2 linked regions of the Elephas maximus indicus genome follow. The protein of the gene in region 1 interacts with the protein of each later gene in a biochemical or structural test. Links are inferred from orthologs where the notes say so. Each region holds a gene or a part of one and is shown in the gene's direction. Other genes may lie near its edges. The genes, in order: LCK and PTPN22.

Region 1 (15,441 bases):
TATGTACTAAGCACTATGTTAAGCCCTTTTTATATATTATCTCATATAATGTTTACAATAGCCCTAGATGCAGGTCCTGTTTTTATTCCCCTTTTGCACATGAAGTAACTGAGAGAGGCACAGAGAGTTTTAGTAAGCTCTCCAAAGGCCTCTGCCAGTGAGTGACTGGGGGACCTTGGGGTTATATTTGGGTCACTATGACATGGGCATTGTGTGTAGGACCTCATGACCAGTAGACTCCCAGAAACTTTAATAAAATAGCATACATAAATTACCAAGCTGTAAGTAAGGCTCTATCCTGATAAAGGCTCTGAGGGAAAACACACACGGAGGTACCAAAGGGATGTGTAAAAATGGCGTGGGGACAGCATCTGACCTCCTCTAACTTCACGCGGAGGAAGGAAAATAAAGATCACCAGCCCAAGGCTGATTCCTATGAGGCGGAGGTCAGATACGCCTCCTTTCTCCGCCATCTTTACCAATACTGACACCAACCCTCCCTCCTACAGCACTCTCTACTTCTCTGCTGAGTTTGGTGTTTCATTGCAATGGCCACACAGAATTCACAGACAATACTCACAATTATGGGGTTTCTTAGAGAAGCAATAGGTTACAATTCAGGTTAAGGAACACTCAGGATACAGTTTATCCATCAGAACAGCCTCTTCCCAGCCTTGCCGAAGACATGCCTCTCTCTGGCCCTTCAGCCTTGGCCCTGCTCAGGGGCACGTGTTACAGAGCTTTTTTAGGTCTGTCAATAAGTGCTCTGAGGCACCTCACTCCACCACTAAGCCTCACGGAAGGTGCTCAGCTCTAGCTTCCTGGGTTTGCAAAACTAGCCCCACCAAGTGCCCAGAAGCACTCTACTCCTCCAGCAAGCCTCCTGCCGAAAGGCACTCAGCTTTCTCGCTCTGTGGGCTAGGAAGCCTACTGCGCCATCTCCTGCTGGTCTCGCCTGCTGCTGTTTCTCTGCCACCATATCTCCCTCTTTAGTGTTACAGCTATCTCTTTACCGCCTGGGTTCAGGAGCTTCTCAGCTCCGGGATCCTGGGTCCAAAGGACGTGCTCTCTGCTCCTGGCTATTCTTTCTTGGTGGTGGTGAAATCCTCTCTCTGTTCTGGAACTGGCTCTCTTTTAAAGCAAAACTGACCCATCTCCATGGTGGGCCACAATTGTCTTATTTGCAAAGTCCCACCCAATAAGTCGGGTGGGAGTTACAAGACCATGGCTAGAAACACCACACAAAAATGAGCCATTGTGCCACACGAGGAAACTCACTGAAAGGAATTACTAGGTGCATACACTTTACTAGTTGGGGGACCTCTCTAGGAAAATACCAGCTTTAGCTTAGAATAATTGCTCTGTAGCTCTTCTTCCTCTTTAAATTGTGGCAAATATATATGTAACAAAACACTTGCCACTTCAACATCTTTAACCTGTACAATTCAGTGAGTTCAGCCATCACTACTATTCATTTCCAAATCTTTCCATCACCCTTAAAAGAAGAAGGGCCCTTCTTTATGGCAATAATTAACTAACAGTCAGTTCTGTGTTCAAGTTATTCCCAGTTTGTGATAATGAATTCATCTGTTTGCATGTAAGAGAAGACTTATCTTTCTGTTCTCTGTGGCAACAGGTCACAAAGTTAATTCAAAAGTGATATTATATCAAAAGGGGGCAGTTCAGTGGTAGAATTCTCACCTTCCATGCTGGAGACACAGTTTCAACTCCTGGTCAGTGCACCTCAGGCACCTTATAGTGTTGCTATGATGCTGAACAGGTTTTGACGGGGCTTCCAGACTAGGATGCACTCGGAAGAAAGGCCTGACAACCTACTTTCAAAAATCAGCCGATGAAAACCTTATGGATCACAAAGATCCAGTCCCATTGTGCATGGGGTCACCATGAGTTGAGGGTCAACTTGATGCCAGCTAACAACAATTGTATCAAAAAGGAACACATGAAAAAGGAGGGAACCCAGGACACATCCCTGTTTTACCCATTAGAAATTATTTACTCTGCCCGCCAACCCTGATTCTTGACTATTATATTTTGACAAGTTTCCGTGTGGGCATTGCCATTGAACAGATGCAACTTAGCCAAAAACCAAATCCTGGTCAGAGACAAAGGCCAAGATTATGTTTTAAATTATTCCTGACAGCTTTTGCCACAAGGTGGCCCTGAGTACAATGGTCTGGAGTGGAATAACCGGCCTGTTCTTGATGAAGAACACTGGACTGAGAAACCCCGGCAAGAAGCTGGGAAGCATTTTGGATGGAATATTCGATAAATGGAAACCCTGGTGGCATAGTGGCTAAGTGCTTTGGCGCTAACCAAGAGGCCGGCAGCTCGAATACACCAGGCACTCCCTGGAAACTCTATGGGGCAGTTCTACTCTGTCCTATAGGGCCGCTGTGAGTCAGAATCGACTCGATGGCAGTGTGTTTGGTTTTTGGTTTGGTTCAATAAATGAATAGGTCTATGGTTTAGGAGAAGGAAAGTACTGCCCTTTTTGAAAAAATGGACAAGAACACGTTCTGAGCCCACCCAAAGAAGATAATGTTGGTGGAGTTGATAAAAGTGAACAAGTTGTCAAGAATCAGAACTCACTGTGATATGGTTCTAAAACACTCTGGGATCACAAAACCCAGTCCAGGAGCTTTCTGCAGCCTGGAATTTTTGATCAATTGTATACAGTATATATAAGGAGCCCTGGTGTTGCAAATGGTTAAATGCTTGGCTGCTAATGGAAAGGCTGGCAGCAGTTCAAGCCTACCTCATGGCGCTGTGAGAGAAAGACCTGTCGATCTGCTCCTGTAGAGACTGCAGCCAAGAAAACAATATGGGGGCAGTTCTACTCTGTCACATGGGGTCACTATGAGTCAAAATCAACTCAATGGCACCTAACAACAACAACATACATATATGACATGAGCAGGGCCACTGGGTATGTTGAGCAGGTTGGGAATTGTGTTGAGAAGCAAAAAGTGGTGGGAGGGGGGAGGCTGAAACCTAGCCCTCAGTCCACTCTCTAAGTTTGCAGCCCGTGGGAGGGGTGACATTTTTATAGTTTGCACAAAGTGCTGTATAGACCATGGGCAAACTTGAGTTTCACTGAGAGCATTACAGGCCCCAGTCAGAGGTGATATAAACCCAAAAAAACCAAACCCAGTGCCGTCGAGTCAATTCCGACTCATAGCAACCCTATAGGACAGAGTAGAACTGCCCCATAGAGTTTCCAAGGAGCGCCTGGCGGATTTGAACTGCCGACCCTTTGGTTAGCAGCTGTACCACTTAACCACTACGCCACCAGGGTTTCCAGAGGTGATATAGGATCTATGAAATTTCTACTCTTGACCTTGGATTCCTGAGCTGGGAGAAGAGAATGTCCTGTTTCATTCACCCCACTATCTGTCCTTATTGCCGGTTCTTATTCTTATTGCCAGCAGCTCCTTGAATCTACTGTTTGTTGCTTTTCTCTTTTTCTTCCTTTTTTCAGATAATGAGAAATTTTTATTGACCTGGTTTTACTAACCTGGTTATATCATTTTGGCTACCCAGCAGGCTTTGTCAAGCTGAGACTGGGAGGATGGGACCTATATTTTGTAAAACTAGGTGAATGCATATATGATCTTACAATTACGTGGGGATACCAGCAAGCTATAAATACTCCCATTCTGTTAGATGTCCATCTGTGCATGCGGATTCATACAAATGCACAGGTGTGCACACATAAGCATGACACTCACTAAATCTTATGCCTCCATGTGCACAGACTCACCTACACTGAGTCAGGTAAATGTACACTCAGAAATGTGTATTCTAAGCAGAGGGAAAAATTGTCTTGAAGAGAAAGGTCTTTGTTAATAGCACAATGATCAAGTACTTGATGAAGAGTAAACCCACTGTCACACCTGTCCTCCCACCCAACTGCTCTCTGCATGACCACTAACGATTCTTGCCCCCCACCTGCTTTCTCTATGATCTCTCAAGATCCCCCCACATTCTTTAGATCTCCCAGGGAGCGAGGAGCAGAGGAGGGTCCATTGATAAGGAATGTAGGGGCCTGATTTGAGTTTTGCCTCTGCCAAGACCCCTCGGTGTGCTGTTGAGAAAATCACTTACCCTCTTTGATTCCCCAGCTTCTCCATCTTTAAAACGAGGCCGGTGGATTTCCTCAGTGGTTCCCAAACTTTTCCCTCCCAAGGACTCCTTTGCCACCTCCCACCCCCCTCCATGGATCTCATGATTTTAAACATTTTCCCTAACAAACTACGTTGTTTAGGCACTAATTTTCTTATTTTTCTACTTCAAAATTTGATCAGAGACTTAACTAAGTATGCAATGAGGGAACAATAACTAGTAGTAGTATAATTTCCATGTAGATTTTTGAAATTTTAAAATACCCTGAAGGTATTCAACACTATTTTCTTCTGGGAGCATGCAAACACTAGGTTGGGAACCACCAAACTCATCTCTGATGACGGAAAGATTTGGGAATGGGTATGGGTAGTGGTTGAATAACATGGTGAACATAATTACTGTCACTGACCTAACTACCCACGTGATGATTGACGAAATGGCAAATGTTTTGTTACATACATATTTACCATTAAAAAAGTTACCTTATAATTTCTCTTATTGTCAAATTCTGGGGTCTCCTGGTTGCTGCCAGGCTCTTCACGCTAATGCTCACACACTTGTAGAAGGCAAGATGTGCTTCCTTCAGTTGAAGGGCTCCAGGAGCACAAAATAAGCCATAGGGAAAGCAGTCAGGGTCAGAGTTACAGAGTTCCTCTTGGTTTAATTTAACAGAGCCTGGCCTTTTCTCACTCTCCTTAGGGATGTGAGGTCCTTTCCGGTGGGCCCAGATTCTGTCCAGGCTCTAGGTCCTCCTGCAGGCTCTCTTGGACCTCACCCCAAGGCCCGTGGCTCCTTTTCCCTTCCTACCTGACCCCAGCCTGCACCGGGTGCCATCTAGTCCCTTGATCTCCAGCCTGGGTTCCTTCTGCCCTTCTAGCTGCCTCTCCTCACCACTGCATCCCAGGACTTTCACAGGCTCTTGGTCTTGGCCCAGTTCATCCCCCGTCTCAAGCCCATTGTTTTCCCATTGTTCTCTTGCCCTTTTCCAGAGCCTCCCAGAATGTTAAGCCTGGGAGGAACTTTATTGATCTAAGTCCATAATTCATCTGATGTTGGGATTTTCTCTACTACAGGACCAACCTGTGGTTTCCCAGTATCACAAGCCATAGGATGCTTGCTATCTTACTAGATAGCTCAGTTCTTCTTAGGCTACTTCCAAGTCTCTATTGCTCCTTTCCTGGAGGCATTTGCTGCTAATTAGTTCCTGGCCATAATAAAATCAGCAAATCAGAAAGCCATTTGCAGCCACAGATGGGTGGACTCTGGCCTAGAAGGACTTCTCAAATGAACCCCCGCCCCCCCCCACAAAGGACTCCTAACAGTGGGAGGAAGAGTAGATATGTATTCTTTTCCTTTAAGACTCTTGATTTGGCTTAAAATTTCATGTCATTTTGCATTTGTTCCATAATAGGTCTATGTTTATTTAGCTATATGAATAAATTCAGGAACCACTGGCACTCTGGGAAGATGCACACCCATGACATCTGATATCCATGGGGGGTCAGGAGTATGTCAGTTTAAGAAACATGAGCAGCAAAGAGGATTATTTACCAGTCCCATTCCCCTACCCTACAAAGCAGGGGCTGGTAGGACAGAATGGGCCCTGGTGGAGAGCGGGGAGGTCTTTCGAAGTTCTAAACTAAGCTAACATTAACATAAGCTTAAATTTTTTTTTTTTATGAGAAAAGACTGATGATACCCATTTGACAGAAGAGGAAAAGTGAGGCTTTGGAAGAATGATTTCCGCAAGGTCACACAGTGTTAGAATCGGGATTTGAACTTAGTTCTCTCTGGCTCCTGGATCTGTGCTCTGACTCTTGTTAACCAGAAAACCCCATTGCTCCTCATCCCCACCTGGTCCCAGCATGGGTCTTGGTTTATTAATCTAAAATCAAAGGTTAGACCTGGTTGTTTCTAAGACTTGTGCAGATAGAAGAATTGGTGCATTAAACCTCCTCATATCATTCAAAATTTAAAATAGCAACTGGTTCTGGGTGCCTGGGGCATTAAGGCAAATAAAGCGCAGCTTCTGCTCTTGATGAACCTGGAGTCTGGGGATGGTGGGACGTGGTGGAACTAACACATAAATCAGTCATCATGGCACTCAGCGCTGAGGTTGATGATTGGGGCCTGAGCAGAATGTTGTAGGAACTAGGAGTGAAAGGGTAGCAAAGATTATTGGGAAGGCTTCATAGAGAAGGTGATATTTGAGCTGAAACTTGAAGGCTGAGTTAGAGTTCAGCCGATGAACAAAATAGAGCATTCCACGACAGGAGGACCACATGTGCAAAGCCGTGCAGTAAGAAAACAGTGCGGGGTGTTTAGGAAAGGCAAGAGGGGTTCAGACACAGGGTGCGTGAGCGTGTGTGGCTGTTTATGTGTGTGTGTGTAGCAAAATAGACTGAGGAGGTGGATTTGGTCTTGATATTGTGCCATGGCAAATTAGACTTTGTCTGAAGACTAGTGCTTTCCACACAGCTGTGAGGGGCAGCCCTAGGGAAAGAGGTGCTTCAGGGACTCTGGGGGCTTCAGGGTGAGGTGCCACTCTGCTTCAGACAGAGCAATTCCACTTTTACCTACTTTATTTACAGAGCTCTGCCTGACTTCACCTGACAAAAAGGTTGCACTGCTAAGACAAAAAAAAAGTTATGGCCAACAGGGCCACTGGAGGGTTATGCTGGGGGGAGGTAAGACCCTGTTGGAAGAAACCCTCTGAAGGAGGCTTTGTGTATGGCGGAGGGCTCTAATGCCTGACCTTTGGGGACAGGTGTCTCTGACCCAGCTTCCTAGGCTGGAGAGGGATTGTAATTAAGAGATAGGGCCTGTACACCTCTCTGGGAGGGGAGGATCTGATAAAAATTTAGGTCTTCCACAGGGCTTGGGTAAATATGTATGTGTGTTCTCTGGGAGGGAGTCCCCCAACGTGGGGGACAGGCAGAGGGAAAGAGAGAGGGGAGAGGCAGGAAGTGGGCAACTCAACTAAGAAAGGTATCTGTGGCAGTTTGCCCATCCCAGGTGGGAGGGCGGGGCCTAGGGCTTTATGTGACTTTGTTTGTGGCCCTGGAGCTCCAAGAGAGCACCAGTCAGGAGTTAGGGCCCACCATTTCAGATTTTCTGTGGCTGGTGAATGGGGGGGGGGGGGGGGTTGACAACCTCGCCCTAGGATGTCTGGTATTGGGGCTGCAGGTCTTGCGTGAAGTCCCTTCACTCCCCTTTCCATTCCCCCAGGGACCATGGGCTGCAGCTGCAGCTCGAATCCTGAAGATGACTGGATGGAAAACATCGATGTGTGTGAGAACTGCCATTACCCCATAGTCCCACTGGATAGCAAAGCCATGGTAAGAGGCAAGAGAGTGGACTTGGTGAGGGAATTAGGTGAAGTGCAGGGCCCAGGGACACTCAGGAGAAAGAATGGACCACAACTACAGGTCCCTGAAATAACACAGTTGACCATCTACCCCGGTATACAGAAAAGAGAGGCCCAGAGAGGGGAAGGGAATCTCCCAAAGTCACACAGCAAATAGCTGACAAAGTTAGTGATAAGACCCAGCCTCTTGCTCTCTAACCCCACCCTCATCCTCCACCCCACAGCTACCCATGCGGAATGGCTCTGATGTGCGGGACCCACTGGTCACCTACGAGGGCTCCATCCCTCCGGCCTCACCACTGCAAGGTGACCCCAACCAGCAGGGCCTGGAAGATGAGGCCTGTGGATCCTTGGCTGTCTGCCTTCATCTCCTCCGAACCCTCTACCCTTTTCGGCCCCTCCTGCCCCCAGTCCTGTCTCTGGCCCTATAACTCCCGACCTCCATGCTCCCAGCCTACCCCAGGCCGGTTCGCCCTGACGCCCCCTATCTTTACAGACAACCTGGTTATCGCCCTGCACAACTATGAGCCCTCTCACGACGGAGACCTGGGGTTCGAGAAGGGCGAACAGCTCCGCATCTTGGAGCAGTTGAGTGCCCTCTTCATCCCATCCACCACAGTCCTAGTGGGGTCTGTGAGGGAGGGGGCTGTTGGTCTAAGACCCCCATCCTCAGAGTTACCCGGTACCTCCAGCTACACCCTGAGGTCCTGATTGGCTGGGGGGGGGGGCCCTTGGAACAAACGGGAAGCTCTAGAGTGCTGAGCTGTGGGGAGGGAGACCTGGTGGAGCTGAGGACTCAAAGGAAGGGTCTCCTGCTCAGTCGAGGGCTGGGCAGGCCGCGCTGACCATCGCTGTGGTGCAGGAGCGGCGAGTGGTGGAAGGCACAGTCTCTGACCACGGGCCAGGAAGGCTTCATCCCCTTCAACTTCGTGGCCAAAGCAAACAGCCTGGAGCCCGAACCGTGAGTGGGGGCTTGTCGTGGGGATGGGCGGGAACACATGTGGCGACCCCAGAGTGGGTGCTCGGAGTCGTGGTGACTGGTTGAGGGGGACGGAAGAAGAAGGGACTAACAGACGACAGCCGTCGTTTCTGCCCTGCTCAGCTGGTTCTTCAAGAACCTGAGCCGCAAGGACGCGGAGCGGCAGCTGCTGGCGCCCGGCAACACGCACGGCTCCTTCCTGATCCGGGAGAGCGAGAGCACAGTGGGTGAGCGGTTGGGGGGGCCACAGCCGGGGCGGGGCCGCGGGGGCGGGACCTCAGGCTGGGGGCCTCCCAGTGGGCGGGGTCGCGGGCTGGCAAGGCAGGGCAGTGAGGCGGCATGGTGCCACCTGGGTGAGCCCGAGCAGAAGGGCATGGGTGGCGTGCGCGGCTCGGGGAAGGCGACCCCGCCCTCTTTTGCATTCTTTTGTTCATTCATTCATTCATTCGTTCAGGATCGTTCTCACTGTCGGTCCGGGACTTTGACCAGAACCAGGGAGAGGTGGTGAAACATTACAAGATCCGTAACCTGGACAACGGCGGCTTCTACATCTCCCCACGCATCACTTTCCCCGGCCTGCATGAACTGGTCCGCCATTACACCAGTGAGCAACTCCAGGACTCCCTCAGATTTGCCCCAGGCCCCTTCTCCTCTGCCGTACCAGCCTGCCCCCTCCCCCCAGTTTCTCTCAGAGTTACCCTCCCCCCATTTCTGAGCGTGCTCCTTCATTTCCCCCAGTGGGTGGGGCGGGGTCTCCGACCCTACAGTCCCAGGTGTCGGGTGACAGCCCCACACCGCCCTGCCAGTCCGTTTCTCCTACACCGGGACTCGGTGAGGTGGGCGCTGGGTGGGGTGACCCAAGGCCTGCCTTCACACTTCTCCCGTGTCCCCGCAGATGCTCCGGACGGGTTGTGCACGCGGTTGAGTCGCCCTTGCCAGACCCAGAAGCCCCAGAAACCGTGGTGGGAGGACGAGTGGGAGGTTCCCAGGGAGACGCTGAAGTTGGTGGAGCGGCTAGGGGCTGGCCAGTTCGGGGAGGTGTGGATGGGTGAGTGTGGCCCTCCAGGGTTGCCGGGGAAGGAGGGAGGGGAGGCGTCCGCAGAAAGCTCTGAGTACAGGTGCACTGGCAGCGGGTGACTCCCCCAACCCCTTCTCCCTCAGGGTACTATAACGGGCACACGAAAGTGGCAGTGAAGAGCCTGAAGCAGGGCAGCATGTCTCCCGACGCCTTTCTGGCCGAGGCCAATCTCATGAAGCAGCTGCAACACCAGCGGCTGGTCCGGCTCTATGCCGTGGTCACCCAAGAGCCCATCTACATCATCACGGAATACATGGAGAACGGTGCGCTCCAGGCGCCGCGGTCCCCTGCGCCCCTCCTGGAGGGTGGGGTTCTGCATTGTCCTCTGGCTCAGCATAAAGGGTTTCTAGATGGGCTTCCTGGGCCGCTGAAGGCGCACCGCCAAGGACTAGAACCGGACATATTATCTGGGGGCCCAGTCTACGGTGGCAGAGCCTGGAAGAGCATTCGCCTCGATCTTCCCTTACCTGCAGTCTCCTTTGCTTTCTTCAAAACCCTGTCTTGATCTCAGGATGCTAGATCTCAGGAGTTGAATGGGCCCCTAGGTTCTTTTCTCCCCTTTTTGTCCTTCCTGACCCTTGGGAGGACAGATCTGTCCCAGCCCATTGCTGTCGAGTGGTTTGGAAATCATAGTGACCCTATAGGACAGAGTAGAACTGCCCCACAGGATTTCCAAGGCTGTAATCTTTATGGAGAAGGTATGGAGAAGGAGCCCTGCTGGCAGAGTGGCTAAGTGCTTGGCTGCTAACCGAATGGTCAGCAGTTTGAACCCAGCAGGCACTCCACAGGCAAAGGATGTGGCAGTCTGCCTGGGTAAAGATTTACAGCCTTGGAAACCCTATGGGGCAATTCCACTCTGTCGTACAGGGTTGCTATGGGTCAGAGTCGACTCAGCCTCAATGGCAATTTTTACCAAAGCAGAGTGCTACACCTTTCTCCCGTGAAGCGGCTGGTGAGCTCCTACTGCTGACCTTTCTGTTTTGTTTTGTTTTCTGTTAGCAGCCAGGCACTTAACCCCTGTACCACCAGGGTTCCTTAGATCTGCCCCAAGGCCCTTTTTTTCCAGCTGTGGGTGAGTCCTTTCCCCCTCCCCCTCCCCTGGAAGGTGTTGCTGTAGGGGCTGTACTATTAGACAGAGAGCCCGGAAAGGCAGAGACTGAGTTTCTAAGCTCCACTTTGACACTGATTTGCTGTGTGACCCAGGCTAAGTCCCCATAGCACCTCCGGTCCTCAGTTTCCCTAAAGACGTTGTGTTATTAGTTGTCATCAGTTGATTCTGACTCATGGCAAACCCACGTGTGCAGCTCCTGCTTTAACAGCAGAAAATCTAAATGAGCTCACCCAGAAAGAATATAGTCATTAAGGGCTCTAGAGTCTGACTGCCTGGATTAGAATCCTGTCTTCATGGTTGTGTGGTTGTAAAAATGGCATGGGGGTGGCGTCTGACCTCCTCCTCTAACTTCGTAAGGAAAGAGGAGAATCACCATCAGCATCAGCCCGAGGCTGATTCCTATGAGATGAAGGTCAGACATACCTCTACCCTCCAACCTTTTCACCAATTGTGACACCAGCTACCCCTCCCACAGCACGCTCTACTTCTCTGATGGGTTCGATAATTTGTTGCAATGGCCACACAAAACTCATAGATCATACTCAGAGTTTTGGCATTTATTAGGGAAGTAACAGGTTAAAATTCAGGATCAGGGATAACTCAAGATATAGTTCTTCAGTTAGGACAGCTTCTCGGCCATGCGCACAAGTAGGCCTCTACCTGGTTCTTGGCCTCTCGGCCTCTCAAACCTCTTGGGCTGGCCCAGCCTCTGGCCTGGTCAGGCAAGTGTTACAAAGCTCTTTAGCTCCACCAATAAGTGTCCAGAGGCACCCTACTCTGCCAGTAAACCTGGGCCCAAAGGTGCCCAGCTTTCTCATTCTGTGGGCCATGCAGCCAGCTGCACCATCTCCTGCTGGTCTCCTGGTGCCTCTGCTGCCACTATTTCTCTGCCACTGCTTCTCGGTGTCTTGCGCCATCTCCGGTGTTACAGCTGTTTCCTGGGTCTAGGAGGTTCTCAGTGCAGGGATCCTGGGTCCAAAGGATGCACTCCACTCCCAGCTCTTCTTTCTTCATGGTAGTGAGGTCCTCCCTTTCTGCCTCTGGAATGGCTTGTTTTAAGCCTAGTGGGACAGCAAAACTGACCTTATTTACATGGCTCCACCCACACAAGGGTGGTGTGCACCATTATTAGCAAGCTGTCCAATCTCCCTGGTGGGCCACAAGCACTTTTTGCATAGTCCCACTCAGTCATTCCGTGAGAGTTACAAGGCTATGGTGAGAAAGGCCATATAAAAGTGATCAATTGCACTACAGTGGTCTTGGACTAATCACTTACCTTCTCTCTGCCTTGGTTTTCTCATCTGTAAAATGGTGATAATAATGGAATAGTAACTTCCTCATAGGGTCTTTGTGAGGATGAAAGTTAGAACAGTGCCTGCCATATGTTAGCTACATCATACATTTGTTGTTTTTATCTAGTTCTGATTCTTTGGAAATACATTATCTGTCCCTCTTTCAGGAAGGGAAAAAGGTAATTGGCTAATAGATTCTAGACATGGCAAGTAGGTTTCATTATAGGTGCCAACTTTGATTGGTTGGTAGTTGCTTGGAGAGCTGGGTTGAGAAGGATTCTGAAGCTCACTGGAGTGAGTACTGTGATTAGCAACATTTGTCACAGACACAATAGAGGAATGGCTGTATATATCCACATATTTGCTGCCTCTGGGTGAGGCCTTTGTTTTTGGTGACTAATTTAGCCCCATAGTGGGGACACTCAGGTATGCTGTCATCCTCATATGAGGTTTTAATCTCTTGGGAAGTGCCACTGGTCACAAGCTTCATCCTAGCAACTTCCATAGTGTTTTTCTTCCAGCCACCCTCCACTACGAGAGATGCCCCAAGGCCCCCAGGATCTCTTTCCATATTCCATTCAATACCTTCAGCACACAGTCATTGCTGCTTACTCTGGGCTGGGCACTAGATAAGTGAACAAGATTTCTGCTGTTAGGGAAACTCATGATTTTAGTAATGGGCACTGGGAAGACAGAGTTTGTGCCATGGGAAGTTTCTAGCACACCACAGGAATGCAGAAGATGATGTAATTTATTATGCCTGGTAGGACTAGAGTGGCTTCCTAAAGGGGGAGCTGGGCCATGAAAGAAAACTGGAATGTTCAGCAGGTAGGGATGGACAAAGACTTCAGGATGACAGCCAAGTGGTCTGTCTGAAGAATCTCAAAATTGTATAGGGTGGCTGTGGTGAAGGAGGCAGGGGTAGGGGAGGGGAGGAGAAGCTACAAATGTGGACCATGCAGGACTTTGGATCCCTGGCTGAGGGGTTTGGGCTTTACCCCATTGGTGACAAGAAACCTACAAGATGCTCCCTCTCAGCCTTCCTGTGCTCAGGGTGAGGGTGCCCAGAAAAGACCTTCACATATCTTGGGCATCCTTACCCTGAGAACATACCCTTCTATTTACACCCCTTATTCTTCCTTTCCACATGTCAAACACTGCTTCTAGATTCCCAGCTGGGGAGAAGGGTCTGGTGGCCTCCCCCTGAGTTGACTTGGGTGAGTTCTGCCGGAGGATCTTTCCTCCTTCTGCTCGCTCTGCTCACTACTCATGCTCCTGCCCACAGGGAGCCTGGTGGATTTCCTCAAGACCCCCCCAGGCATCAAGCTGACCATCAACAAACTCTTGGACATGGCTGCTCAGGTAAGGAGCCTGGGGAAGGCTGGGCCTGGGCACTGGCCACTGGGGAAGGATGTCTGGCCCAAGACTGCTGACCTGTACCTGGCCTGCAGATCGCTGAGGGCATGGCATTCATTGAGGAGCGGAATTATATCCACCGTGACCTGCGGGCCGCCAACATCCTGGTGTCTGACACCCTGAGCTGTAAGATTGCAGACTTTGGCCTAGCACGCCTCATTGAGGACAATGAGTACACGGCCAGGGAGGGTAAGTGCGGGGTCTGAGAGAGGTCTGGGGCCTGGCAGGTTCAAATCAAGCAGATCCAGGTGGCCTCACTTTGCCTCCCCACAGGGGCCAAGTTTCCCATTAAGTGGACAGCACCAGAAGCCATTAACTATGGGACGTTCACCATCAAATCGGATGTGTGGTCTTTTGGGATCCTGCTGACAGAGATTGTCACCCACGGCCGTATCCCCTATCCAGGTTAGAACCAAGGGCAGGAACTGGGAGGGGTGACAGGGAAGGGCAGCCAATTCATGTTTTTCCACTCACTTCTTCCCAGTCTGAAACTTTCTAACTGCTTCTTCATCCTCTCAGGGGTGTGACTCCAGCATCCTCAAACAGATGCCACATCTCCCAGAGCTGGCTTCCATCTCTGTCTCTGGATCTCTCCTCCTTCAATAACACCAGCTCTTTTCTTATGTTCTGGTATGGCAGCCTAGTATGGTAGTAGATCTGGCCTGGGAGGCAAGAGGCCTACCTTTTATTACCAGATCTACCACTGATGCTAACTTTCTGTTTGGCTTTGAACATATACTTCCTTTTTTCCTTCTTTCCTACTACACGCTAACTACTGTTCTAAGCACTTTACATGTACTATTTTAACCTTGACGGCATCTCTGTGAGGTAGAATTGCAGGGTTGTTATGAAACTTCATTGAAGTTAGAACAGCGCCTGGCCTATAGCAAGTACTCAAGTGTGTTAGGTTTTATTATTAACCATCACTGTATGACTTCTCTGAGCCTCAGTTTTCTCATATGAAAAAAAAGAGACTATCAGTGAAGGAGCCCGATTCGTAGTACCAACCCAGTTGCTGTCAAGTTGATTTGATTCACGGCAACCCCGTGTGTGTCAGAACCAGACTTCATGAGGTTTTAATGGCTGATTTTCTGGAAGTAGGTCACCAGGCCTTTCTTCTTAGCTGTCTCTAGGAGGACTCAACCTCTAACCTTTTGGTTAGCAGCCAAGCGCATTAACCACTTCCATCACTCAGGGACTTCGGACTCATAGTAGGTGCTCACTAAACACTGACCAAGGACCTGGGTCTTCTCTTCCCTCTGAAGCTTTCCACCTAAAGAGAAAAACAAACAAACCCATTGCCACTGAGTCAATTCTGTCTCATAGTGACCCTACAGGACAGAGTAGAACTGCCTCATAGGGTTTCCAAAGCTGTAACCTTTACAGAAGCAGACTGCCACATCTTTCTCCAGCGAAGAAGCTGGTGGGTTTGAACCAATCACCTCTCGATTAGCAGCCACGCACTTACTGTGCCACCAGGCCTTCTTAGAGAGGGAGAGAGACATGTTTAAGCAACTAATTCTCACCCTCTCTCACTCACCCCTCCCTTTATCTCCTGGACAAAGGCCTTCACCCCTTAATTCAGTCCAGACAGAGATAGAATTTTTTAAAAAGAACTTGCTAAGAAGCTCTGGGGAAAGGAAATGGAACATAAAGACAGTAGTAGGGCGGTCACAGAGCATAGTGGCCGGATGTGCAGAAACATCCCCAGAGCAATGAACAAAACTTTCCTCCTAGAAAGGTAAGGGCACCTTAGAATCAGGTGAGAGGCCTGAAGGCCCTTCCTGTCCTGGACTTGCCCACTGTCACACAGAGTCCAGGGGCACTGCTGGGGCTGTAACCAGACTCAGTCATCCTGCCAAGGGCCTTTTCTGCTCCTCCACTGTGCCATAGAGGCTAACCCATACAGCATTTCTCTCCTAGAAGAAAAAAGGCAGTGAAAACATCATGATAAATGGCAACTGACAAGTGGCTTCAGGGTCAGGGAGACAAAGGAGAGTAACGCCGCCCTTGGTGAACTTGCATCTGCTCCAGCAGATAGTTGCCATAAAGACA
Region 2 (15,483 bases), about 94 Mb from region 1:
TAGAATCCAACAACTTATCAAAAAAAATAATTCACCATGACCAATTGGGATTCATACCAGGTATGCAGGGATTAAAAAAAAAAAAAAATTTTTTTTTTTTATGCAGTGATGGTTCAACATTAGAAAAACAATTAATGTAATCCATCATATAAATAAAACAAAAGACAAGAACCACATGATTTTATCAATTGAGACAGAAAAAGCATTTGACAAAGTTCAACACCCATTCATAATAAAAACTCTCAGCAAAATAGGAATAGAAGGAAAATTCCTCAACATAATAAAGGGCATTTATACAAAGCCAACAGCCAACATCATCCTAAATGGAGAGAGTCTGAAAGCATTTCCCTTGAGATCGGGAGCCAGACAAGGATGCCCTTTATCACCACGCTTATTCAACATAGTGCTGGAGGTTCTAGCCGGAGCAATTAGGCTGGATAAAGAAATAAAGGGCATCCAGATTGGCAAGGAAGAAGTAAAAGTATCTCTATTTGCAGATGACATGACTTATACACAGAAAACCCTAAGGAATGCTCAAGAAAACTACTGAAACTAATAGAAGAGTTCAGTACAGTATTGGGATACAAGATAAACATACAAAAATCAGTTGGATTCCTCTACATCAACACAAAGAACATTGAAGTGGAAAGCACCAAATCAATACCATTTACAGTAGTCCTCAAGAAGATAAAATACGTAGGAATAAATCTTACCAGAGTTGTAAAAGACTTATGCAAAGAAAACTACAAAACACTTCTGCAAGAAACCAAAAGAGACCTACATAAGTAGAAAAAAATACCTTGCTCATGGATAGGAAGAGTTAACATTATAAAAATGTCTATTCTACCAAAGCGATCTTTAGATTTAATGCAATTCTAATCAAAATTCCAACAACATTTTTTAATGAGATAGAGAAACAGATCACCAACTTCATATGGAAGGGCAAGAGGCCCCGGATATGTAAAGCACTACCGAAAAAGAAGAACAAAGTGGGAGGCCTTGCCCTACCTGATTTTAGAACCTATTATACCACCACAGTAGTCAAAACAGCCTGGTATTGGTACAACAACAGATACATAGACCAATGGAACAGAATTGAGAATCCAGACATAAATCCACCCACATATCAGCAGCTGATATTTGACAAAGGCCTCAAAGCAGTTAAATGGGGAAAAGACAGTCTTTTGAACAAATGGTGCTGGCATAACTGGATACCCACCTGCGAAAACATGAAACAAGACCCATAACTCACACCATGCACAAAAACATGCTCAAAATGGATCAAAGACTTAAATATAAAATCTAACGATAAAGATTGCGGAAGAAAAAATAGGGACAATGTTAGGAGCCCTAATACATGACATAAACAGTATACAAAACATTACTAACAATGCAGAAGAAACACTAGATAACTGGGAGCTCCTAAAAATCAAACACCTGGAATCGACTCGACAGCACTGGCTTGTTTTTTTTTTTGGTTATGCTCATCCAAAGACTTCACCAAAAGAGTAAAAAGACTACCTACAGACTGGGAAAAAGTTTTTAGCTATGACATTTCTGATCAGCACCTGCTCTCTAAAATCTACATGATACTGCAAAAACTCAACTACAAAAAGACAAATAACCCAATTAAAAAATGGGAAAAAGATATGAATAGACACTTCACTAAAGAAGACATTCAGGTAGCTAACAGATACATGAGGAGATGCTGACAATCATTAGGCATTAGAGAAATGCAAATCTTCTACAATGAGAATCCATCTCACTCCAACAAGGCTGGCATTAAAATGTTGGAGAGGTTGTGGAGGGAATGGAACACTCATAAATTGCTGGTGTGGGAATCATGGCCTAAACAAGTTGACATATATATTGAATACTGTCATTCAATCCATGACAGCAGCCTATTGCTTAACCACTGGGCCACCAGGGCGTCTTCATCTTATGACAAATGGCCTTAAATTATAGTTATTTATGTAGTTATCTTCCCTACTAGAATAAAGGATCCTTGAACAAAGACAATTTGTTGTACACTTCTGTAGCACTCCACCTCTGTTCTCTTGGATGTATATGGATCCTGTAAATATTCATTAAATGAATGAATAAATGACTCAACATTGAATGAACAATCAAACAAAGAAAAAATGAGATTTCAGGCTTTATTATATTTTAAACAGGATGCTGTAGCAGGTTGAATACTGTCCCCCAAAATTCATGCCTACCCAGAACTTCAGAATGTAATGTTATTTGGAAATGGGGTCTTTGCAGTTGTAATTAAAGATTTATTATTTATTTATTTTTTTGTACTTTAGATGAAAGTTTATAGAGCAAATTAGTTTCTTATTAAACAATTAATATACATACTATTTTGTGACATTGGTGGCCAACCCCATGACATGTCAACACTCTCCCCTTCTTGACCTTGGGTTCCCTGTTACCAGCTTTGCCCCTAGGCCAGTGTGCCCATTTAACCTCGTTCTGCTTATGAGCCTGTCTAATCTTTGGCTGAACGGGGAACCTCAGGAGTGACATCAGTACTGAGTTAAAAGGGTGTCTGGGGGCCATACTCTTGGGGTTTCTCCAGTCTCTGCCAGACCAGTAAATCTGGACTTTTTTTGAGAGTTAGAATTTTGTTCTACATTTATCCCCAGCTCTGTCCAGGACCTCTACTGTGATCCCTGTCAGAGTAGTGGTGGTGGTAGCCAGGCAGTGTCTAGTTGTGCTGGAGTCAGTCTGATGGAGGCTGTAGTAGTTGTGGTCCATTAGTCCTTTGGACTAATCTTTCCCTTGTGTCTTTGGTTTTCTTCACTCTCCCTTGCTCCAGATGGGGTGGTAGTTAAGGGTCTTTAGATAAAATCATCCTGCATTTATTTATTAAATAAACATGAGATATAAGGAACATGTGAAAAAATAAGAAAACTTCCAGAACTGAATATATTTATATTAGAGGGATTCAGACTAAGAGAAGGTCATGATAAAATAGAGTTAGGGGTAGGATTTCTGAAGAAAAGAGTAACTGGGCTTTGTGAAAGAATTGGCCCTAAATCCAACAACTGGTGTCCTTATAAGAAAAGAAGAGGATAAAGAGAAGAGAATGCCATGTAAAGATAAAGTCAGAGAATGGAGTGATGCATCCACAAGCCAATGAATGCCAAGGATTGCTGCCAACCACCAGAAACTAGGATAGAGGCATGGAACAGATTTTCCCTCAGAGGCTCCAAAAGGAACTAACTCCGCTGTCTCCTTGACTTCAGACTTCTGGTCTCCAAAACTGTGAGAGACTATATTTCTTGTAAGCCACCAAGTTCGTGGTTATTTTTTAGGGCATTCTCAGGAAACTAATACAGATGCCATGGTTCACCTAGAGTCCTTACTCTCTCCTTAAAAAAAAAAAAAAAAAATTGCTTCAATTGTAAGCTATCAGTTGACATTTGCCTCTTGAGAATTATGTTTCTGAAACCTAAGGAAGAGTATGAGTCCCTATATGGTATGTGGGAAGCTGACTGTGAAGTCCACAGGGACTCATACTGCTGTGGAGCAGGTGTATTGAAATGCTTAATGAGGTTTTAGAAAGTTGTAGTGACAAAGAAGCAGATTGAAAAACGGGTAGGGGACTTTCCTGCTGAGGATGATGTTATGAAAATATGAGCAAATCAAACAAGCTTCATTAGAGATATTTTATTATTCTGTGTTAGTTTATCAAAGGAGAAACACTGGCCAATTCTGGAGATAAAGAATGTCATTTCTCTCTGGCCATTACAGCCCTCTGGGGCTGGACCCTGCACCTTAGTCACAGCACCATACCTTGGTTTACTCCTTTTACAATAATAGCCTTGCTGCTTGGGCAGAAGCACTCAGGGAAGTACTCTTTGCCAGGTTCCTGGGTCTCCCTGCAGGTAAGATCCATCTGCTTCTAGCACAGTGGAAGTACCTAGCCAGAGACTAGAAGCATAGACTGTGCCAGGCAAGAGATCTGAAATAATTAATGTAGTGAGTTACCGAGTCAGTGAATCTCTCACCAAAGCCTAGCCATATTATGTAATATATTTGATCACAACAGACTTTTTCTAAGTATCTTAGGGATGCTCAAGACCAGGTTAAACACTGTGGGTTATGCTAAAACATAGAAGATACTATCATTGCCTTTGATAAGCTTACAGGAGGCAATTTTGTCTACTTTGGAATGTATAATGGGTCTCATGATTACATAAACTTATGAGATGCAAGGAACATGTAAAAAAAAAATTAGAAAGCTTCCAGATCTGAATATAAAGATTTATATTGAAGGGATTCAGAATAAGAGAAGGTCATGGTGAAATTGTTATAAGAGGATTTCTGAAGAAAGGGGTAACCGGCCTTTATGAAAGAAGGTTATTTATCTTGATGAAAATTAAAGGAAACAGTGAGAAGTAGTAAAAGAAGTGGTAGTGTAATCAACAAGATTTGTGGGTGATGTGGTTGGAGAGGTTGGATCAGGACATTTGATTAGAAGTGGCTTGGTAACAAGTTGAGGTATCTGGGCTTGTTCCCATAGACTATGAGCAGGCATTTTGGTTTTTTAACATTAAAGTGGAGTTTTAAGAAGTTTCATCCAGCCCTGGTTACAAGGAGACACTGAAATGGGAGAGAGAGAGGTACGAGACCAACTAAGAGCTTATGGCTGCAGGAATCCAGATGCGAAAATGGGAATGGTTAACACAGAAATGGAAAAGGTAGGTTGAAACTAAAAGACATGGAGGAGAAAGAACCAATAGACTTTGGTGGCTGTTATAAATTGAATTGTATCCCCCCAAAATATGTGTTTTAAATCCTAACTCCTATACCTGTGGTTATAATGCCATATGGGAATGGAGTTTCTTTGTTGTATTAATGAGACAGTATTAGTGTAGAGTGTGTTGTAAGTCAATCTCTTTTGAGATATGAAAGAGCAGGTTAAGCAAGTGAGCAGAGATGGGAGAACATAGATGCCATGCCACATGAAGGTCACCAAGGAGTCAAGAAACGGAAGCTGAAAAGAAACAAAGACCTTCCCCTCAAGCCGACAGAGACAAAGAGGCTTCCCCTAGAGCCTCCTCGCCTGTGGGAAAATTAATTTCTGTGTGTTAAAGGTACCCACTTGTGGTATTTCTGTTATAGCAGCAGCAGGGCAGTGACCAACAGGATGTTTACAAAGGACAGAGTGTTAAAAAAAAAAAAAAAAAAAAAAGACTGAGTGTTTCACAGATAGTAGTACACACACACACACACACACAAAAATAGCCCACATCAAATCAATGACCCTGGGATGCAGAGAAAGGCAAGAGGAGTGAAAGTAAAGCTAAGACTGAGTAAATGGCTTCTCCAGGGTAACCCACGCCTCTTCACAGAGAGAAAGATGTTCTGAGAAATAATGTCTTTCCTACTGAGCAGTTTATCTTGCCCTAATAATATCCCCTGATAGTCTCTGATTAAAGTTTATGGTCCTCTAATTCCTGATCTCCATGATATTGATGTTTCTCCCTTCAACTGGCACATTCTCTTCTTGTTGGAGCAGGTGACAGTATGATCAACACCCGTTATCATCTTCCTTCTGAACAAACACCAGAGACGTGTGAGGCAGCTGTGAGTGGTCCCTAATTCTTCACTCACTCCGCTTCAGGCGCTTATTCAGAATTTTACTTCCTACTAGAGCTCACCTTTGATGGTTCTGATACGGTGTCTTTTACTGCATGGAATTGTTGTGTTCACTTAGGGTTTACGCCAGACTGGTTTAAATGTTTCATTGTAAATTCTTAAATTATGTATTTGCCAACCTTTGGTGCATGACTTGTTCCCCTCCCCAACTCTTGATTGTCCCACAAGATACAAATGAGTCAACACAATCTGTTCCTATTGCCCTCCAGTATCTGTAGAAGGAAGTGTGAAAGATTAAGCAGTAGGCTTAGATTTGTTCAAAATAAAACTGAAGTGTTTTTGTTTTCTCCTTCAGGTTGTTTTTTGCTCACTTGAGTGGTCTGCTCAGGAAATGGCCTTGCAGCTAAGTGAGTTTTTGAGGTTTAGTTATTTCACGATGTTTCTATGCCTTTTGGTTTTACAATGGAACAGACTCCTAAGTCTTGCTGCTTGCTTTTAAAAAAGAGATACAGTTCGGCAAAGACTCTATTTTCAGATCCTGAGCTTTGGGGTAAAAGAGCGATGGATGACATCTAAGCAATTTTTTCTTTCTTATCTCATATCTATCTCTACCTCTTCCCTCCCTAAGAAGAGACGATAACATTGAGATTGTTCTGAAATAGGGGCTTGAGGAAAATTGATTTAAATTTCATCTTATGAAGCATCTGTAATTATTTAAGTTCTGGTTTTGATGGAAGTGAGGACATTCTAAGGGGACACAGAGATTATGAAACTGTATCTTTTATTTGTTCAAAACAGAATCATTTCCTTCTAGGGTTATACTTTGCTACTTGGCAAACAAGAAAGTTAGTTTGGAATATTTTTATTTTTATCAATAATTAAGTCTATTTCTTTAGTTCTGAAATGCTTTATTAACTGGTTTAGTGTGTATGTTTTTTAACCATATTCTGGCTTGTTCACTATTGTATGCCCAGCCCCTAACACAGTGTTTAGAATTTAGTGGATACTCAATAAGAATGAATTAATAGTTTTTTTTTTTTGCATGTGTGTATGTTTTAATTTAAAAAGTGGTATAAGAAAGTTTTTAAAAATCACCCTTAATCCCAGCACACACATACAATTGATTTTTTGCAACTTTTAGTTTCTGTTTAACTATGTACAGTATATACTTTTACATGATTATAGTTATTGTGAGCTTTAAATTTTGTATTTTTTAAAATGTAAACCTTTCCCTCTATTTTATATGTTTAAAAATAACCAGATCAAACACTGCATTGTTTAGAGCAGAGAGATACTCTCCTTTAAGGCTAGTGGGGTTAATTTGAGAAATGTGATTCTATTCCAACAAATATTGCTGAAGCATTATGGTCCACTTTAATTTACATGGCTCAGTATTGAAATTCTTTATTTGGAATATTGGCTTCAAGTTGCCTATAACCACGCTATATCAATGACCTTTCTTTTTCCTATTGTAGGGCTCAATAAAATGAAAGCAGCTTAATAGCGTCCAGAATCAGGACTTCCTAAAGGAAATTTGAACAATGTTGCAAAACAGAAAGGATTGCTAATATTTACATAAAAAAAAAGAAAATACATAAGGAAGGCCTAATGATACATTTCCCAGTTTTCTTCAGGATGTTGTTAACATATTCTTTAGTGAACTTCTACACCCACACAGAAATGATGTGCTCGTTTCTGGGTGTTCTCACACCGATTTAGACACTCTTGGGGAGCCCTGGTAGTGCAGAGGTTAAGAGCTCAGGCTGCTCATCAAACGATGGACAGTTCAAATCCACCAGCTGCTCCTTGGAAACCCTGTGGGGCTGTTCTACTCTGTCCTATAGGGTCGCTATGAGTCCAAAGTCGACTTGACCGCACACAACGACAACAATGTTGTTAACATATTCTTTATTGAACTTCTACCCGAAACAGAGATGATGTGCTGATTTCTGGGTGCTCTCGCACTAATTTAGACACTCTTGGACAGATCTGTACCCACTGAAAAAAGAACTTAGGCAAACTGAGATGTAGAAGCCTTTTCTGGAACAACTTGCCTGTCAGACAGGGCTGAATTGCCACATGCACGGCATGACCTCCTGAAACAAAGGCCTTTTCCAAGACACTGGCTGCAGAGTAGAAATGTCTTCTCTAGAAACAGGCTTTCCACCGTGAAAGTTATATTGCTGCCAGCAAGGTGATTGTTTTTACTTTTTTTCTGTTCCCTCAGTTAAATCAGCCTTACTTTTTTTTTTACTAACGGGGGGATAGTATGCCATTGCTGGGTCAGTGCTCCTGCTGGGGGTCACTGTGCTCTGAATCCTTATTGGCCAATACTTTCAGTCTTTACATCCAAGTGAAGCTCATAAGGCTCCTGGGGGTGGGGGAGGTCCTGAAATCCACACTTCCCTTAATGGAGGTCAGCACTTCCCCAGTCCTGCGAGAGGTATAGACTGTCAGAAGCAGCTGACTTTGCTTCATTCCAAAGAGAGTTTGAGGTCTATTGGGGGAACTTAAGAATAAATACTCTGAAAAAAATGCCTTCTCTGATGAACAGAAGTTTGCCCCTGATCATATTGGCAAGAAACCTTTGGAGAAAGACTCCCCGCAAAAGTTGAGTGACTCTAAAAGTGTCCGTCTCCCTTTCTGGGCCTAACTGAAGCAGAGTTCATTTGGAAATGGAGGATATAGAAGGTGACACCAGGGCCTTTGTGCTCACTGGTGAGATGGAGAGAGGCAGAAACCATGAGACCTCTAACTCTGCCTTTTCTCTGTGAAGCAAGAAGAGAGGTGAATTTTGCTTAAATGTAGACTGGAACAGTCTCAGAGCTAAGCAGACCACACATTATTTTCTGGTTAGTCTCTTGTTTGTTAAAAACTTGAATTGTAACCAGGCTCCTTTGTTGAAAACGAAGGCGCTAGGGCCCTGCCGTGAGATGATGGTTTTGTTGTGTGACCACAGAGGCTGGTTACGCACTAATTTCCTCTAGGGCTTGTGATGAAGTCAGTAAACCACAGCCTTCAGCATACTCTGCTCAGGAGGCGGCAGTGGCTTCTCGGTGGTGTCTTAGCCATGACACACATTTGACATGCCCTCCTTCAACCTATTCATAGATTGTCTCTCTTGCTCTGCAGCATGGACCAAAGAGAAATTCTGCAGAAGTTCCTGCATGAGAACCAAGATAAGAAAATTAAGAAAGAGGAGTTTGCCAATGAATTTCTGGTGAGTCCTGTGTGTAACACTCTCATGGTAGTTACATAGGCTATTTAACTGACTCTGATGGTCCAACTCTCCTAGACCAAATTGCTCTTGGATTAAAATGAATATTAGACCTCAGACAGGCAGGAGGGAAGGAAGGCAACCTAAACGTTTGACTTCCCTCAGCAGTTTGTATGTATGTTAGGTGTTCTCTCCAAAATACTGACTTTGATATTTTGTTTGCTATTTCTTGACACTTGACTAGGAATCCTACAGAAGACATACACAGTTCCAGTGGAATAAATACTAATATAATTGAACATACAGAGTTCCCCAGGTATCTAAGTTGTGGTTAATGATTCAAATTACTAATTTTATTTTATATTAAGAGGAAAGAGACCAAGACTAGCTTTTCATGGCTCAATGAACATTTTTATCCTCCCCTTGGGATTCCATTTGGATGACATAATTTTTTTTTAAAAGCACCAAAATTACCTGCTGCCTCATCACTTTTCTTTTTGGTGAAGAAAAAAATATTAGAACATACGTTTTTGCAATAACAGGGTTTCCTTAACCTTCTTTTGCTTGGAGATGTGAAAGGCTAGGATGGAGAGTAGGAGCAAGTGAAGGGAATGGAGAGAAATATTGAGTACGAGGCAGCCTAGGGTCAACTGGATTTGATTACCCAGAGCAACACTGCATCTCCTTTGAGGGAACTGTGGTTATTGCTGCAGTGATCAGCTGGATAGGCCTTATTGATCCTATAACCAAGTACATCAGATCAAATAGGGTATCTGCGAGTACCTATCATGTATTTTGGAATACTTCCAGCTGGTGTTTCAGAGCTGTAATAACTTCAGACCTTCGATCTTCAGCTGTGAAGAAGAAGTGGAAAAAACAAGGGAACCGAAGCACAAAACCTAGAATTAAATCATGATTCTTTTGCCAACTAAATTCTAGACTATTTGACGTGTTCCTTAATCTTCCCGAGCCTTTGTTTCAAATTTATAAAATGAGGATACTAGTTTAGTCTTTCCTACCCTCACAGGATTGTTGTGAAGATTTAACAGCAATAATAATTAAATATGGCCATTTATTCAGTGGTGTTTATAGAGCACCTACTATGTACCAAGCACAGTGCTAGGCACTGAGGATACAGCAGTCAACAAAACAAACAAAACTCTTTGTCCTCATGGAGCTAGCTCTCTGGTCCACCACAGTAATGTAAAAACACTCTGTAAAGACTTGAGTGATTAGCTATTATGATTGAGTGGTTAATATTACGACAGAGACCAGTTCAACTCAGATAATATTGTGGTATCATGAAAAAAGTGCTCTCAGTGCCATGGTCCGGTCAGTCTGAAGCCTGTCTGAAGTCAGTCTGAAGGGAGGGAGGTAAGGAGGACATCCTAGCCTATGTGTCTCTTTAGAAACGTGCCTGCCTCTGGCCTATAACTCCTAAGCCAAATTCACCCAAAGCAGAGAGGTAAAAAGTGAGGGGCAACTTCTGTTTTATTCTGGTTGTGTTTTTTTTAAATAATGTAAACTATATCCCTGATATTTTACCTTTTCTTATCTCCAAAAACTAAACAGAATCCAATGCTGTTGAGTTGATTCTGACTCGAAGCGACCCTATAGGACAGAGTAGAACTGCCCCATAGCGTTTCCAAGGCTGTAAATCTTTATGGAAGAAGACTGCCACATCTTTTGCCTGTGGAATGGCTGGTGGGTTTGAACTGCCAACCTTTTGGCTAGCATCTGAGTGCTTTAACCACTGCACCACCAGGGCTCCTTTCTTATCTCGGGTCATTATAATCTCTCACCCAAATTATGACAGCTGCCTCGTAATTGGTTTCTCTGCCTCTGGTCTTGCCCCACTTCAATCAATTTTCCATTCAACACCCAAGTGATCTTTTAATAATACAAATCTGATCATTTTTTCCCTAGTTTGTCTTTTTTTTGTTTAAAATTGTGAAATGTACTAACACATTTAGAGAAGTACGTAAAAGAAGTACAGTATATTGACTAATTATAAAGCAACTACCACCCAAGACAATAAACAGAGCATTGCCAGACCCTAGAAGACCTCTGTATATCCCCTTCCCATCAGGTCCCTACCCCCACCCTGCCCTGCCCAAGGGGTAATCACTATCCTGACTTTTATATTAATCATTTCCTTGCTTTTCTAGGTCCTGATTTTAAGGACCTTGTTTGGGGGTGGTGATTAAGTGGAACCTCACTGTTCACTGACTCATGTCCTCCAGTGGAAAAAGAGTGTTGCTCTCAGCCCCACCTAAAGGTTAATCTGAGATACCAGAGGGTGTAGCTTTGGGGAAGTGAGGGAGTGTTGAATGGGGCCAGGTTGCTTGCTTGAGCAAGGTAAATACTGCCATTAAATTGGAGGGTTTTCCACCTGGTCACATCCCACATCCCACCTTAATCCCTTAGTATATTCTCCCAGAATTTGATGATTCTGGAGCTTGTGAACTGACTCTGTGACTCTGGGCTACTGCTAGTCTGAAGGATGGTGCCTTTGTGCAAATTACCAAATGGCTCCTCTGCTTCCAGGTGGTGGCCCTGTGACCTTTTCTACCCCCTGCCTTCAGGTCCGTGGCTTAGGTTTCAGTCCCCACTCTCCCCACACCTCTTGGCCGGGTATCTCTATTCAGAGCACAACATTCATAACTAGATGTGGCAGTCCTGTGTGACAGCTGAAGCCAATAGCATGCTTAGGTCTTCTTGTATCAAGACTAAATTTAATCTCTCTAGATGAAGCTGCCACAGAATGCCCCTGTAAGGTATTCATGCATTCATTCAAATACAGGAATACGATACAATGTTCCTGCTTTGTGGAGCATGTCTTCTAACTGGAGAGGCAACATTAAACAACTAATTACTAATTACAGTTGTGATAGCCTTTGATAGGGTGTCAAGGAAGTATCACATTCACTATCTTATTAGTCAAAAAACCCTGTGAGGTAGCTACAATTATTATCTCTGACTTACAGGTGAGAAAACTGAGGCCCTGAGAGTAATCAGCCTAACTTATTCAGCTGTTAAGCTGTAGAGACAGAACTTAACCCAGATTTGTATTATTCAGAGCCTGTGAAATTAATCTTTATGCAACAGTGCCTTGCTTCATTTCAACCAATAACACTGAGTCCCTCAAAGCCTGAGGGTAAATCCCTAGGTAGCATAGTTTTTAAATAGCAGGAACAGCGGTATACGACCACATTACTGAAAATTCCATGAAGGTACTTTTAAAAAGCCCTTATTGTAATTATTCTTATAAACCAATATTATCACAAGGTTAAAAAAAAAATGAATAAATCCACCACAGTACTAGCATTCCAAAAAACAAGTTTTATTTTGTGGATCTTCTTGTCCATTTATATAATGCTTTTTTATATCATAATTATAGCGTAATACAATTTTGTATTCCCACTTCACATAGCATTATACCAAAATTATATACCATGTTAATTCAAAATATTTATAGTATTTAATGGCTAAGGAGCCCTGGTGCTGCAATGGTTAAGCGCTTGGCTGTTAACTGAAAGGCTGGTGGTATGAACCCACCCAGGGGCTCAACAGGAGAAAGACCTGATGACCTGCTTCAGTAAAGATTACAGCCTAGAAAACCCTAAGGGGCAGTTCTACTGTGTCACATGGGATCGCCATGAGTTGAAATGGATTCAACGGCACCTAACAACAACAATGGTGCAGCATGGCATGATGAAATAATAACAATCATAATAACCAATACTTCTACAGCCTACTATGTGCCAGACATCACTCTGAGCACTTTTATATATCAATTCATTTAATCTATTGAGGAAGGTAGTGCTATTATTTTAATTTTATAGATTAGGAGACTGAGGCACAGAGAGGTTAACTGACTTTCTCAGGGTCACACAGCTAGTAAGCAGTATAACTGAGTTTTGAATTCAGGTAGTCTTTTTTACCATCTGTACTGATAACCACTTTGTAGTCACATAATTCTGGGTTTAAATTTAGGTTCTGCCTATTATTAGCTGTGTGGCTTTGAACAAAGTCATTAAAAAGTGGGAATAAATAACATTCACTTTGCATAACTGCTGTGAAGATAATGGGATAAGTATACAAAATGCCTGACACATAGCAAGCACCCAGATAATTTAACCATTCCTGTACTGTTGGACATTTAGGTTGTTTCTAATTTTTCATGATTATTGATAACTGGAAACCCAGGTGGCATAGTGGTTAAGTGCTATGGCTGCTAACCAAAAGGTCGGCAGTTTGAATCCTCCAGGCACTTCTTGGAAACTCTACGGGGCAGTTCTACTCTGTCCTATAGGGTCGCTATGAGTTGGAATCGACTCGACGGCAGTGGGTTTGGTTTGTTTTTTTTGATAACACTACAATGAATATGTCGTGCATGTTGTTTTTCCCTTCTTTTGGGTTACATCCTGAGGCTAGATCCCCCAAGGTGTTATTATTGGGTCAAAGAGTATTAGCATCTAAGTGTTTAAACCCTTTGTCTTCAAGTCGATTCTGACTCATAGTGACCCTACAGGACAGAATAGAACTGCTCCAAGGATTGGTTGGTGGATTCCAACTGCCGACCTTTTGGTTAACAGCCGAGCTCTTAAGCACAGCTCTACCAGAGCTCCTCTAAATGGTTAAGTACTGCCAAACTTATTTCTAAAAGAATTTTTTTAATTTTCAGTATCTGAATTTGTAATTTTCTCTACCACTTTGCCAGTCTTAATTTAATAACTATAAAAGACAATAATAGATACAATTTATTGACTCCTTACCATGTGCTAGGCAATCTGCTAAGTGTTTTACCATATATGATCTCAGCTCATCTCTACAACAACCCCAAGAGGAAAGTATTATCTTCATTTTACCTACGAAATGGCAAAGCTGGGGTTTGAAACTGGTATGTTTGTTTCCAAAGTCTCTTAACTTCTCTACTTATGCTGCATCAGGTAAAATCATAACTTTTAAAAATATAATTGGTGTAAAATAGTATTTTATTATGTTAATTTGATTTCTGAGTCTGAAAATTTTCCATGACTATTTTCAATCTCCTTTTTCTTTTATAGTATAACTTTTCTGCTCATCTGCTTTTCACAGTCACAATAGCTAACCCTTAACAGTGCTTCAGGCTCTGTGCTAAAGCGCTTTACAAACAGAACCGCGTTTACTTCTTAAAGAATCTCTTAAAATGGCTAAAATAAGTCCTGCATAGTCCAACCCTCAAGTGCTGCCTTGAACATTCTTCACTCTCTTTTGCCTAGGTAACAATAATTTTTCAGATCTCATTAAGGATGTCACTTCCCCTGAGAAGTCTTCTTGACCTGAGTAGACTGAATTTCCTATTATAAGTTCTCATTATTCATTTTTTTGTAGAATACCACATTTCCAATTTTAAAAGAATATTAAGAATGGTTAACTCCGGGTAGTGAATTATAGGTAATCTTTATCTTTTTGCTTTTCTGTATTTTCTAAATTTTTGTCAAAATACATATTACTTTATTTAAAAATTTCCTTTAGTGTTGTTGGATTCCATTTAAAGAATGGAATTTGTGTATTTATTTGATTTACTTGTGTAATTATTTGATTAATGTCTGATCACCCAACAGATTGAAGCTTGACAAAGGCAAGGCTCATGTTTAGTCTGCTTATCCTGGTGTCCTTGGTGTCTGGCATGGAGTAAACACTGACTCACAGAGAGGTTAAGTGACTTACCTAATAAGGTCACGCAGCTTATAAGTGGTGGCACTTGGATTTGAAGTAAAGTTATCTAACTTTTGAGCCTGTGGTCTTACTACCCCTTCCCACTCTGTTACCTCCAATTTATTCATTAACTTTAATTTTTAAACTTTTAAGAATTGTAAAATATAACTTACACACAAAAAGTTAAAAATATATATGTATATATGCAGTTTAACAGTTGATAATAAAGCACATACCCATATACCCATATAAGCACCACTCAAATAAAGGAAAAAAAAACAGCGCCCACACCCCAGAAACCTCCTGAGTGTCCTTCTTGATCACACCCCCCCATCTATTAAAAAAGAAAACCAAACCCATTGCCGTTGAGTTGATTCCGACTCATAGCAACCCTATAGAACAGAGTAGGACTGCCCCATAGAGGGCTGCGCCTGGTGGATTTGAACTTAAGAACTTTTGGTTAGCAGCCATAGCACTTAACCACTACACCACCAGGGTTTCCAAAAGCCAAACCTGCTTGAGTCAATTCTGACTCATAGCAGCCCTATAGGACAGAGTAGAGCTGCCCCATAGAGTTTCCAAGGAGCAGCTGGTGGATTAGAACTGCTGACCTTTTGGTTAGCAGCCGAGTTCTTAACCACTGTATCACCAGTGCAAAGGCCCCCCTCCATCTATTAGAGATAAACACTACCCTGATACTTAATCATTTCTTTATTTTTCTGCATAGCTTTTAATAACTACGTATGTATCACTAAAACGATTAACCATTAAGCCGTGGCTGTGGAGTTAATTCTGACTCATAGTGACTCTACGAAACAGATTATGACTGCCCCATAGGGTTTCCAAGGAGCCGCTAGTGGATTCGAACTGCCGACCTTCTGGTTAGCAGTTGAGCTTTTAGCCATTGCGCCACCAGGGCTCCAAATCACTAAACAATAGAGACTAATATTATC

Evidence for each region.
Region 2: of the proteins of LCK (region 1) and PTPN22, one has a biochemical effect on the other in vitro, tested with the Homo sapiens proteins (3 studies listed by IntAct, with this or other methods). The link is inferred for Elephas maximus indicus from reciprocal best matches to the Homo sapiens genes LCK and PTPN22.

What each region holds. Positions count from the first base shown.
Region 1 is NC_064821.1:73,155,615-73,171,055, forward strand, and holds the start of LCK (tyrosine-protein kinase Lck), read left to right. Parts: upstream 1-7,481; intron 7,482-7,734; coding exon of another isoform or gene 7,735-7,747; coding exon 7,748-8,097; intron 8,098-8,372; coding exon 8,373-8,471; intron 8,472-8,612; coding exon 8,613-8,716; intron 8,717-8,943; coding exon 8,944-9,093; intron 9,094-9,384; coding exon 9,385-9,537; intron 9,538-9,650; coding exon 9,651-9,830; intron 9,831-13,255; coding exon 13,256-13,332; intron 13,333-13,421; coding exon 13,422-13,575; intron 13,576-13,659; coding exon 13,660-13,791; intron 13,792-15,441. UniProt on the Homo sapiens protein: Non-receptor tyrosine-protein kinase that plays an essential role in the selection and maturation of developing T-cells in the thymus and in the function of mature T-cells. Plays a key role in T-cell antigen receptor (TCR)-linked signal transduction pathways.
Region 2 is NC_064821.1:166,856,428-166,871,910, forward strand, and holds the start of PTPN22 (tyrosine-protein phosphatase non-receptor type 22), read left to right. Parts: upstream 1-8,654; 5' UTR 8,655-8,743; coding exon 8,744-8,830; intron 8,831-15,483. UniProt on the Homo sapiens protein: Acts as a negative regulator of T-cell receptor (TCR) signaling by direct dephosphorylation of the Src family kinases LCK and FYN, ITAMs of the TCRz/CD3 complex, as well as ZAP70, VAV, VCP and other key signaling molecules.